2 linked regions of the Caenorhabditis elegans genome follow. The protein of the gene in region 1 interacts with the protein of each later gene in a pairwise test. Each region holds a gene or a part of one and is shown on either strand. Other genes may lie near its edges. The genes, in order: rga-1 and papl-1.

What was found.
Region 2: the proteins of rga-1 (region 1) and papl-1 interact in a two-hybrid assay, tested with the Caenorhabditis elegans proteins (one large-scale study listed by BioGRID).

What each region holds. Positions count from the first base shown.
Region 1 is NC_003280.10:11,463,076-11,469,404, reverse strand, and holds rga-1 (Rho GTPase-activating protein 68F), read right to left. Parts: upstream 4,512-6,329; 5' UTR 4,509-4,511; coding exon 4,385-4,508; intron 4,329-4,384; coding exon 4,175-4,328; intron 4,113-4,174; coding exon 4,019-4,112; intron 3,961-4,018; coding exon 3,854-3,960; intron 3,801-3,853; coding exon 3,642-3,800; intron 3,580-3,641; coding exon 3,460-3,579; exon of another isoform or gene 3,410-3,459; coding exon of another isoform or gene 3,356-3,409; intron 3,312-3,355; coding exon of another isoform or gene 2,820-3,311; intron 2,775-2,819; coding exon of another isoform or gene 2,430-2,774; intron 2,381-2,429; coding exon of another isoform or gene 1,881-2,380; intron 1,825-1,880; coding exon of another isoform or gene 1,800-1,824; exon of another isoform or gene 1,780-1,799; intron 1,597-1,779; coding exon 1,448-1,596; intron 1,386-1,447; coding exon 1,233-1,385; intron 1,174-1,232; coding exon 899-1,173; 3' UTR 752-898; downstream 1-751. Other genes in the region: cisd-1 (CDGSH iron-sulfur domain-containing protein 2 homologue), read left to right, coding at 296-384, 440-667; klp-17 (Kinesin motor domain-containing protein), read left to right, coding at 1,800-1,824, 1,881-2,380, 2,430-2,774, 2,820-3,311, 3,356-3,409; aars-1 (Alanine--tRNA ligase, mitochondrial), read left to right, coding at 5,384-5,461, 5,508-5,798, 5,852-6,329.
Region 2 is NC_003283.11:12,756,948-12,761,611, forward strand, and holds papl-1 (Purple acid phosphatase), read right to left. Parts: upstream 2,814-4,664; coding exon 2,672-2,813; intron 2,622-2,671; coding exon 2,478-2,621; intron 2,182-2,477; coding exon 1,934-2,181; intron 1,877-1,933; coding exon 1,646-1,876; intron 1,497-1,645; coding exon 1,386-1,496; intron 1,338-1,385; coding exon 1,203-1,337; intron 1,158-1,202; coding exon 898-1,157; intron 850-897; coding exon 753-849; 3' UTR 618-752; downstream 1-617. Other genes in the region: F18E2.15 (uncharacterized protein), read right to left, coding at 3,401-3,520, 3,792-3,945, 3,997-4,022; abcf-1 (ABC transporter domain-containing protein), read right to left, coding at 4,241-4,664.

The sequences.
Region 1 (6,329 bases):
CTGGTTTTCCAATAGAAAGAGTGTGCGCCTTTAAAGAGTACTGTAGTTGTCAACTCGCGAATTCTCTCATAAATTTTAAAAGATAGCACTTCTGAAAAAGTTATGAAAATTGATACAGTACTCCTTAAAGACGCATACTCTTTCCCAATAAAGCAAAGCGGTCGTTTCGAGACCCGATACTGTACTTTTATGCGAAAATCGCCAAATTTTGCATCTACCTTATGATAAATCGTATATATTTTTTTTCGCTTGAATCTTATTCCTTAAATTTTTTTTGTTAAATTAAATTTTCCAGGTACCATGCCTTGCCCAACTCAAGTCTCTGGTCGCTGTGTCGCCACGACTGCCGCCGTTCTCGCGGGAGGAGCTCTTATTGGATACCTTGTAAGTTCAAGCCTTCCCCTGATGTAGCCTCTTCAATTTCACTAATTAATTTCAGGTTGGTTACAAGTTCGGACAGCGTTCGGCTCGCTGCAACTACAAGATCCAGCTCGACTCGAATAAGATCGTCGACACCGTCGATATTGAGGATATTGGAGAGAAGAAGGCATTCTGCAGATGCTGGAAGAGCGAGAAGTGGCCATACTGTGACGGATCACATGGAAAGCACAACAAGGAGACTGGCGACAATGTTGGCCCACTCATCGTCAAATCCGAAAAGAAGTAAACGTCGTCTCGACAAATCATTGATCTTCATTATCTATTGACTTCTAAATGTTCTTGTGATCGTCGAAAACCATCGGTTTTATATGATTTAGTACGGATACAGTGAATTAATTTTTAGTATAAATGACAAGTGTTTTGAATTTTATTTAATATGGATGCAATAAATAAATTACAGTAAGGCAAAAAAGTACAGAAAAACGGGGGAAAATGCAAAAGCTGAACACCCTAATGATCAATGATCAAATACTGAATCATAATCCACAATTAATTTATAGCAGAAGTTATTGAGGTTATTCAATTGAGAAATCGGCACTTCTTGATCCGTTGGCCACGTCAAATTTGGACCGAAAACGACACTCAAATTGTTTGCAGTCATCAGATTCACTTTGCTGTTTTCGGCGACTCGAGTTAGGAATTTGATGACTGTTTTCAGAAGAATGTAGTTTTCACGAGGCAGAAGCTTCACAAATTCTTTCACGGCGGCGCTTTTCTCGGTTTTCGATACTTCTGAAAGATTCAGATATTAAATAAACACTGTTTTCAATTGACTTTAAATATTTTCTCACCTGAAAGAGCCGCAAGTTTCGGATAAAGCCTATTGGTCGTTAGGGGCTCTCCGAGGCTCCTGAAGAACGTCTTCAAAAGTACAGAAGCATGCAGGGAAGCCACGTATTCGTTGTCCTTGTACTCTGGATCATTTTCGAAATCAATTTTTTCGCCTGAAACAAATATTTAAAATTAAAATCAAAATCAAAATTCAATTTCCTAGCCTATTAAATACCTTTATTAATTCTATCCTGTAGCCTCTTTATACTTCCAATATTAGCACTTTTCCTGAAAACTCCTTCCATTGTCAACGCGTGAGCTTCCAGATACTCGATGAGCTGGTCAACGATTGGAGGGATGTTTCCACCACAGTGAGACAGGATGCTGAAAATTTGTTTATCTTAATATTAATTAATTTATTTATTTAATTAATTTAGTTTATAAAAATCACGTTTGAATGACATTTCTGGGAAAACGTGGGAAATTTATTGGAAAAAAAAAATTCTAAATAAAAAAAAAAGAATTTTCTTAGAGTTTAGAATTTAGAATTTATTTCCGAATCTTTCACTGGTCGGTGTTCGAATCAAATGGACGGTGTTCGTATAAAAAATGGTGAGTTGTTATATTTTTTAATATTTTTAGTTTATATATATATATAATAATTTCAGACTTTTATAACAATCATACTAATGATTTAAAACATCAAATCGCGCAATTGGAGAGAAAAACCGCCACAATTCCAAAACTCGAGAATCAATTGCATAAAGCAAAGAATCAGAATAAGGTGCTACGACGTGAATCGGCACTTTTCCCGTCAGCATCTTGCGCTGATGTATCCAGAGTTGAAGATCAAAAAGTGAAGACTTTGAGAAATGAATTGGCGGATCTTAAGTTGAAACTTCGGCAGTTGGAAGATGACAATAAGGAGAAAGACATGGAAAATGACAGGCTGATTCAGGAGAATCGAACTTTGAAACGTGAAAAGCTGAAGCTTATCAACTGTTTTAAAACCCAAATGGCTGAAAAGGACGCCATCATTCGTGAACTCAACGATGAAGTTGTTGATCTTCGTGGCCAAATTCGCGTGGCAATCCGTGTTAGAGATTTTGAGAGAGATGGATCTTCCAACTTTAGCATCATCTCACAAAATGAGGTTCAACTCCAGCAGGTACGAATTTTTGATTTTAATACTTCAAGTTTAAAGCACATATTTTCAGACCACCGGCCAATCCAACACCTACAGTTTCGAGCACGTCTTCTTTCCTCCGACCGCCCAATCCGGAGTTTTCGGTGAGATCAAGGAGTTGATCATGTGTGCGCTTCATGGAAAAAATGTGTGTCTCATCGCCTACGGACCAACTGGAAGTGGAAAGACTTTCACGATGCGAGGAGAAGATAGTGCTGATTCGGAAGGAGTCATTCCACGTGCTATTCGATTTATGCTGGAGCAATCAAAGAGAGATCTTGCGATGATTGGTTGGAACTACAAATTCCAAGCATCCTTCATTGAAGTTTATAACGAAGAAGTCTATGATTTGTTGGATGGGAAGCAGAAGTTGGAGGTTAGATAATCTCATCTTATTATCTGTATTTTCAATATTTTGCAGGTAAAGATAAATGGATCGAAGACGAATGTAGTTGGACTGAAGAAAATCGAAATAGGAAACATCTCCGACGTTGATGTGATTCTGAATCTTGCCGATTCGCAAAGATCCGTAGCTTCAACAGCATCTAATGAGCATTCATCTAGATCTCATGCAATTTTCCAAATCTTCGTTGATGGGCAAAACGCCTCTGGTGAGATGGTTCAATGCTGTCTCAACTTGGTGGACTTGGCTGGTTCCGAACGGGCGAAGGAGACGCAAGCTCGTGGGAAGCAGTTCACCGAGCTCACAAACATCAACCAGAGCTTGAGCACTTTGAAAAAATGCATCCGAGCTCAAATGACGAAGATGTCGCATGTTCCATATCGTGACAGTAAGCTCACAATGGTGCTTCGCGAGTATTTGGGTGCAGGATCGTCGAAAACAATGTTCATTGCTCATGCGAATCCTCGTGATGTTGCCGAAACCAAACGGACATTGGAATTCACTTCCGAGGTATTTGTGCATATTTTTTTTCTGACATATCTTTTAAATTTCAGCTTCGTTCAACAAATTTGGGAAAAGCAGTTGTTCAAACAGGACAAAAACTATGAACTCTTTTTAGTTTTTAGACATTTTTGAACTGTATTGAATAAAGACTTACAACTCGAGAGGAACTCCAAACTGTTGTGTTGGCAGAGGTTGAGCTGGTGGTGTTTCAGGTCGATTTGATTGAGTTGAAAATGATTTATCATGATCTCGAATTGGACTTGGAAGATTTAATCTGAAAATAATCTTTTTTATAACAATTTAAAAAATTAAAAAATAAGAAAAGAAAAAACGAACCTTGCCACTGAAAGTGCGTTCTCCAGCTCGTCTATACACATGACATAGTGGAACTTGTTCTCAAACTTGCTCGATATGAAACCTTTGAACAGCGAGAAGATAATGCGGATGAATCGTGTTGGATGCACTACGTAGAGCGCTTTCAGGTTCTTTTTGAATCTGGAAACCGGTTTTTTTGAAAGAGAAGAGATGAATTGAATTCAAATACTTACCTACGATCAAGTTGTTTGTAAGCCTGGAACAGCCACCGTACCGGTGGTTTGTTGTGACTTCGTAGGCCATAGTGAAAATAGACAATTGTGTAGTCTTGGTCAACGATCTGGAAAATTGCAAATTTTATTTTTATCAAAATATTATATTTATTAAAAATTCCCAACCTTATCAATAATTTGTACCAAATACTGTAGAAGTCTGGCATGATCTATTTCCTTGCTTGATGGGAGCCGATAAGCATATACGACAACAATTGGCCTGCAAACTATGATTCATTAAAACAAAAAAGATAATTAATTTTTGGATTCAAATTAATTTACCTTCCAACTCGATCCCCATCAGCAATTACTTGAATAATTTCGTGAGCTGATATGTCGTTGAAAAGATCTTCGAACGGTTCAACACCTCCAAGCTCTGTCTCGAATTCTTCAGTTTCCAGAAACGATCGAGATGGCGTCATTCCAGTGACACTTACTGAAATAAACCAGTTTTCTATTAAATTAAATATCAATAATTATTATTCCACTTACCGCTTAGGTCATCCGGTGTGAGAAGGTCATCATCGGCATAGCCATCCACCGGATCTTCGAATTCTCCAAGATTTATGTTGGGATCTGATGGACCTGATGGATCCGGAGGATGTTTCGTGTCCATTTGCTGAAAATCTTAACAGTGAAATTTTCATTAAGACAGGGGCAAGGTAATTGACTACACACACTTGAGAATTTGGAAATATTTTAAGTTTCTAAGAAAATGATTCGTATAATAAATATCATATAATAAGTAGGCATATATAATGACCAATCAATATGTTTGAAAACATGTGTCAGATGGATTGCAGCGTGAGGTGAGAAGTGTTGGGTGAGAGATGTGAGGGAAAACAAGACGCAGACACACACACACACACCGGAAGAGAGGGTACGGTTATGAGGGGAGAGACCGAGGGAGATTGAGGAAGAAATGGACGAACAGTGCAGTATGTACCAAACGGCTTTTATGTTGAAAAAGAGAAAGAGAGAGTGGAGAGGAAGGAAACACTCCGCCGCGCCATTTGACAGCAGCGCCGGTTTTTATGAGATTCGTATCAAGGGAAGATGACGTTTTTTCTTTTGGATTGATTTAGAGAAAGCCCAGATTGCCATCAGCACTGAATATTTTCTCGTTGAATTTATTGTGTCTAGCCAGCTGTTTTGTGAGCGAGAATGAATGAAATTGATATGGGGTCACGACACAGCGCAAATATAGTGTCCAGTGGTCGCGGCGCTCGCCAAAAATGTCATTTCAATGAGAGGATTTTGTGTTTATTCAGCAAACGGTCGACGGGGATTACCAGTTTACTATTGAATCAAAAATATTTGAGAATTAAACAATTAAATTTTTAATTAAAACAAAATAAAACAAAAAAAAACAGCTTCTTTTCTAGGCCATGGCCTAACATGTTCTAGGCCAGTGTAGATTTACGGCACATTTTCTCTTAAATAATTATTTCGTTTTGAAAACGTTTTCAACGTGTATTCAACCGGAATGCGATGGGAATTGGCTCCAAAATATTGGAAAATAATATTCAGAAATCAATTTCACTTGGATTCTATCATTCACATTCGGAAGTAAGTTTTAAATCGGTTGAAATAACATTTTAATAGTTTATTTCAGCTTCGCAAGAGTTTCTACGAATTTTTCAAATCGAAAAATCACGAAATACTCAGATCTTCATCTGTAATTCCAGACGAAAACGATGGAACCTTGTTATTTACAAATGCTGGAATGAATCAGTTCAAGCCATTAATTCTATCATCAACCGAATCTAGAAGAGTTGCAAATATTCAAAAATGCATTAGAGCCGGAGGAAAACATAACGATCTCGATGACGTTGGAAAAGATTTACATCATCAAACATTTTTTGAAATGATGGGCAATTGGTCGTTCAATGATGCATTCTCAAAAGTTGTTTAACGACGCATTTCTCTCTGAATATCTAATATTTTATTTGCTTTCAGGAGGAAGCATGTCGATATGCATGGGAATATTTGGTGGAAATTCTAGGAATCAATGCAGATAGATTGTATGTTTCCTATTTCGGTGGAATCGAGAAGCTCGGATTACCGGAAGACCGTGAATGTCGAGAAATTTGGAAACGAATTGGAGTATCGTCAAATCGAATTCTTCCATTTGTCGCTGAGAATTTTTGGGAGATGGGTGCAGCTGGTCCGTGTGGTCCTTGCACCGAGATTCATTATGATAGAATCGGCGGAAGAGATGCTTCTCGATTAGTGAATATTGATGATTCAGTTGTAGAAATTTGGAATATTGTCTTCATGAGCAGCGTCAGAGATTCATGTGGTCAAATTCGACATTTGGGAAAAAACCACATTGACACAGGAATGGGATTCGAACGTCTTCTATCAGTTGTCCAGAACAAAACTTCAAATTTTGACACTGACGTGTTCACACCGATTCTAGAAAAGACCTCCGAGC
Region 2 (4,664 bases), on another chromosome or scaffold:
TTCTACACTTGTATTCCATTCTATCTTTCTCTAGTTATATGTTCACAAAATGTATATTTCTGACTATATACATACAACGCATTGTATTTATATATCAAATTAAAGTTATGATGACGTAAGTATTTGAAAAATTAGAGTATAAATCTGGAAAAAGAAGAAAAAATCAAAATTGTTAATGACGCGCCCTCTATGGAAGTTATTCTGACTCATATGTTGTATTACCGCGTACGGTTTCATAATTTCTTAAATAGAAAATACCTATTGTACCTGAAACTCACATCATTAATTTTAATCTGTTCAGTCTGGAGTGTGCAAGTTTCAAATTTTTAATGTATATCATATTTGCAAAATTCAATTCAACAGCTTGATATTATTGTCTAGAAACTCCCACGGAACTGCTCTCACAAATACGTCAATGCATGCAATCAAAAAGAAGAAATCTAGGAAACCACATACAAATATGAAATTTCTATTTTGAACACTGACGCCATCACCACGGCCAATCAAATTTGCCGCATTCGGGAACCTCCCAAAATACCAAACTTTGCTGGACCTGAATAACCTCGGCAACGAAAATTTAAGTTTCAAATATACTGGCATTTGACAACTTGAAATTTTTGATAAAGTTTATTTTTATTTTTTGCTACATATTTCCCACAAACTCTACTCTGCCTTTTATTTTTTTTTCGAAAATCATAAAAATGAATAGAGATATTTTATACAAGCTCTTATTTTTAATTTATTTACAAAATTTAAAGTTCTTCGTTAATTTCCTTCAATGATCGTTTACAGGCGACATCCTTGAAATGGCATTTTTGAAGTGGAAACTTTGCTCCTGGATTTGCTCTTCTACAAACAGTAATTTTTGGAACTTTTTTCAAAGCCAACTCTACTAACCTCATCTCACCAGAATGCATATGGCCTTCATCTTTAATAACCCAAAAGTCATCAACAGTCTGCTCATTTTTATCAATTGAAATTTGTTCAACTCTAATATGTGTTCTATTTGCAACTGTCACAATAGACCATCCATAATCATTATTTCTTGCAGCACTCCATGGCCATGGTTTATCAGTGAAAAGTGCATCTGGAGTATGACAACCTGCTGATCCACTAATCAAATAAACTGGAGCTTTTGGGTTAATGTAAGCATTTGGCTATAAATTTTAATAATCAAGTTTTTGAATTTTGGTTAAACTTACATCATTCCAATAAGCTCTATCTGCAACTGGGTAGAATCTTTCATACGAGTGCTCATGCCCCCAGAAGCCAAAATCAACGGAAGTTTGTAAAAAGAGTGGTTCTAATCCTGGCATATCCAGCCAACCGGTACGAACCTAAATACCAGACATATTAGCCAAATTAAACAATTTACTCCATCACACCAATCGATTTTCAAACGATTGACATTCAGCGGAGTTCACATTACTACAGTAGAATGGTCGATGTTGGAAGGTAAAGATCCATGGATGCGCTGCACGATTTGAATTTGCTGTCTGGGAAAATTGAAAATTATAGTATTTGAAATACACTGACACTTCTCATCTGCCTGATGATATTAAAATTGATAATTTTAAAAATAAAATTGATAATGATTTCAAATTGATAATTTTCTTTACTCCAAAAATAATTCCATATAACTTACAGTCAAATCCCTTTTCAACCAATCATATTGTGTCATTACGGGATCCATTCCATATTCATAATAGTATCCATAGGTTTCAGTACTCACACCAACCCAATGTACTGGTCCAAGATCAAAACTATAGAACTGGTTATCGTTGTGACCATTGTCCGGAACTGAGAATCGTTTTTGATAGTTAGTAAAGTTTTGATAATCGTCTTCGTGATTTCCAGCAATTACCATATAAGGAACCTGGAAACTTTCAGATTAAAATGTATGCATTAATTCACAATCGATTAAGAAACACACCTTTGAAATAAGTGGCTCAAATACATTCAAGTAACTGTCTCCGACTTGCCCATTATTTGTGTGCAGATCATATGCAATATCACCAAGATGAACAATAAAATCAAAGTCACCAGCAAGGCCGTGCTTGATGATGCTTTCAGTTGAGTTTCCATGCCAATATCCCAAATCTCCGAATACACAAACTTTATAGGATTGTGGATCGTTTGAGAGTGTCTTGAATGAGAACTTTCTAGATGCAATGGTATAATCTGAATGTAGGAAGGTGACTAATTATATTTATTTTGTCTATTACTTAGTAGTAAGACATGCAATTTTAATTTCCAGACACCTTCGCGATTGCATGAAGGAACGCATTAAAATAGTGGAATATTGTAACAAAAGTACATTGAATTAATTTTACTACTTCCGTAAACGTATAAAAACTCCTCGAAAAATAGACGATTAATCTCTAAAATGTTCTAACTATTTATTTGACAAAAGAAAAATCGGTTTGACTCTACTGATAGAGTGTCAATTCTAGATAATAAGTTAAGCATTTTCTCACCATATTCTGTTGAATACTCTAGTCCGGTCATAATTGCTTTGTGCCGATATCTAGTGATTCCTCCGAACACCCAAGCTTCAGAAGATCCTTTGGCAGTTGATGTTGCACCACTTCCGGTTTTTCCATAGGTAACATCTTGTGAAACTGAAATTAAAGCTACTAACTCGCAGCCTTGCCTAGTGTTCTATAATTACCTTCTGAGAATGTATTCCAAACTACAGCCATCTCTGTCATATCTCCGGTGAATGAAATGTGAACTTGATCAGGAGTTGTTCCTTCGGATATACATTTCGTGACTAATAATGATATTACTGTTAATGTTATGTGAATACTCATCTGGAATTTAAAAAAAAAACAAAAATTAGTAAATCGTAAGTAGATATTTTAATTTCAGAACGACAATTTGCAGCAAAACAAGACAGTAAAAAGTGAGGCTGTAAAAATACTTGGTAAAATGATATTTTGAAAATAGAATTTTCTTGGTAATTTTGATGAATGTTCAAAAAAGTTTTGATACATATTTTTGTACTCAATTTCTGAATAATGAGAAAAGATACGAGAATTCATAATGTTTCCATTCTAATTAATTGGAACAATCTAGATTCCTATCAATTTTTGCAACTTTATAATACTGAGTCAAAATTACCAATATTTGGAGTGTTCCTCACAAAGTGTGAAAAGTACTCGAATGCATTTGAGAGTGGATAACTTTTTGGGAAAACTTTGCATATATTTTCAGTGAAGCCACAACTTTTCGATCAAAAACTAGACTTGCAAAAAATGAAATGGTTACATGTGAAACTAAAGGAACGAAACGTGAAGTGTGATCAATCGGATTATATTCGGACAGTACATGTGCATGTCTATTCGCAGAGCACACAATTTCCTGATAAGAACAAAATGAAATTGATTTATTGAGAAATTTAAGAGAATAAGTTCATTAAGAGCCATAGTAGACGGCTGCAATGGCAATGAGCACTTGGATGAACAGAAGAAGAGAAGCACCGAATGCAATGATTGGGAAGAACACGTGAAGAATAGCTCTGAAATTTTATAGTTAATCTGGAAAATATGATTCTCAAATTAAATATCCAATGTGGAATTATATGTTCATTAAAGAAATTTGGAACTCGGCCTCGAAACGATCGCAACAACTTTTTAATTGAAAACTTCGAAAGAGTATGTTCCTTTGAGGGTTACGGTAGTGTTTATTATAGCATGTACCTTGAAGGTGACGTTGCAATTCAATACGAATTTACGATAAGTCTCTAATTTTAATAATAATTTCCTAACCGACTCATGATCCGTAATTACCATTGTTCTTCTAACTCTAATTGTATTTGAAGTTTTCGTTTCTTCCTTCTTTCCTTTGGTATCTCCATATGTTGAATCTTCCGGACGGATAAATTCATTGAGAAGATTGTCTGCTCTCTCAGTTAGAAGATCCTCTTGATTTACTTGTCCTTGTCTTCAAATCTATTATGACAATAATAATTATAATAATGAATCCGAATCATACCTAAGAAGTTTTTCAACGCTGCTCATGTCGAAGACGAGATTGATTTGTATTGTTGTAAATTCAGAAATCATTATAAACTTGAGTTGTTCAACTCGACCATGTAAAAGTGTGTTTATTTATGCCAACAATAAAAATAAACGTGAACTTGATATTATAAAGAAAAACGACACCGAAGCAAGACATTGCAAAAATTAACGAAAAATCGGAACAAAATCACGAAGAACAACTAAATGAAATTTAAAAACTATTTCTTGCTAACAAGAGCTTCTCCAAGTGCATCAAGTACTTCCTTCTTGTAGTCCTCAAAGTCTCCGTCAATCTCATCAATTCCTTGATTTTCAACAACCCAAAGATTACAATCCGTTCGAACAACCAGTCGCTCGTCGTGAGTAACCATCACAACACCACCATTGAAATCCCGGATTGCTTCTGCCAGAGCATCAATGGATTCAATATCGAGATTATTGGTAGGTTCATCAAGAATGATAATATCAGGACCTCCAAGAGCCAAGTTGCACAACGCTACTCTCGACTTTTGTCCTCCAGAAAGATCTTTAATTTTAACAGTGTGAGCATGAGCAGCAAGTCCAGTAGTTCCGAGCTGTTTACGAGCTTCTTGATAGTCAATGTTGAATTTGGTACACAAAAATTCGACGGGTGTCTGCTCG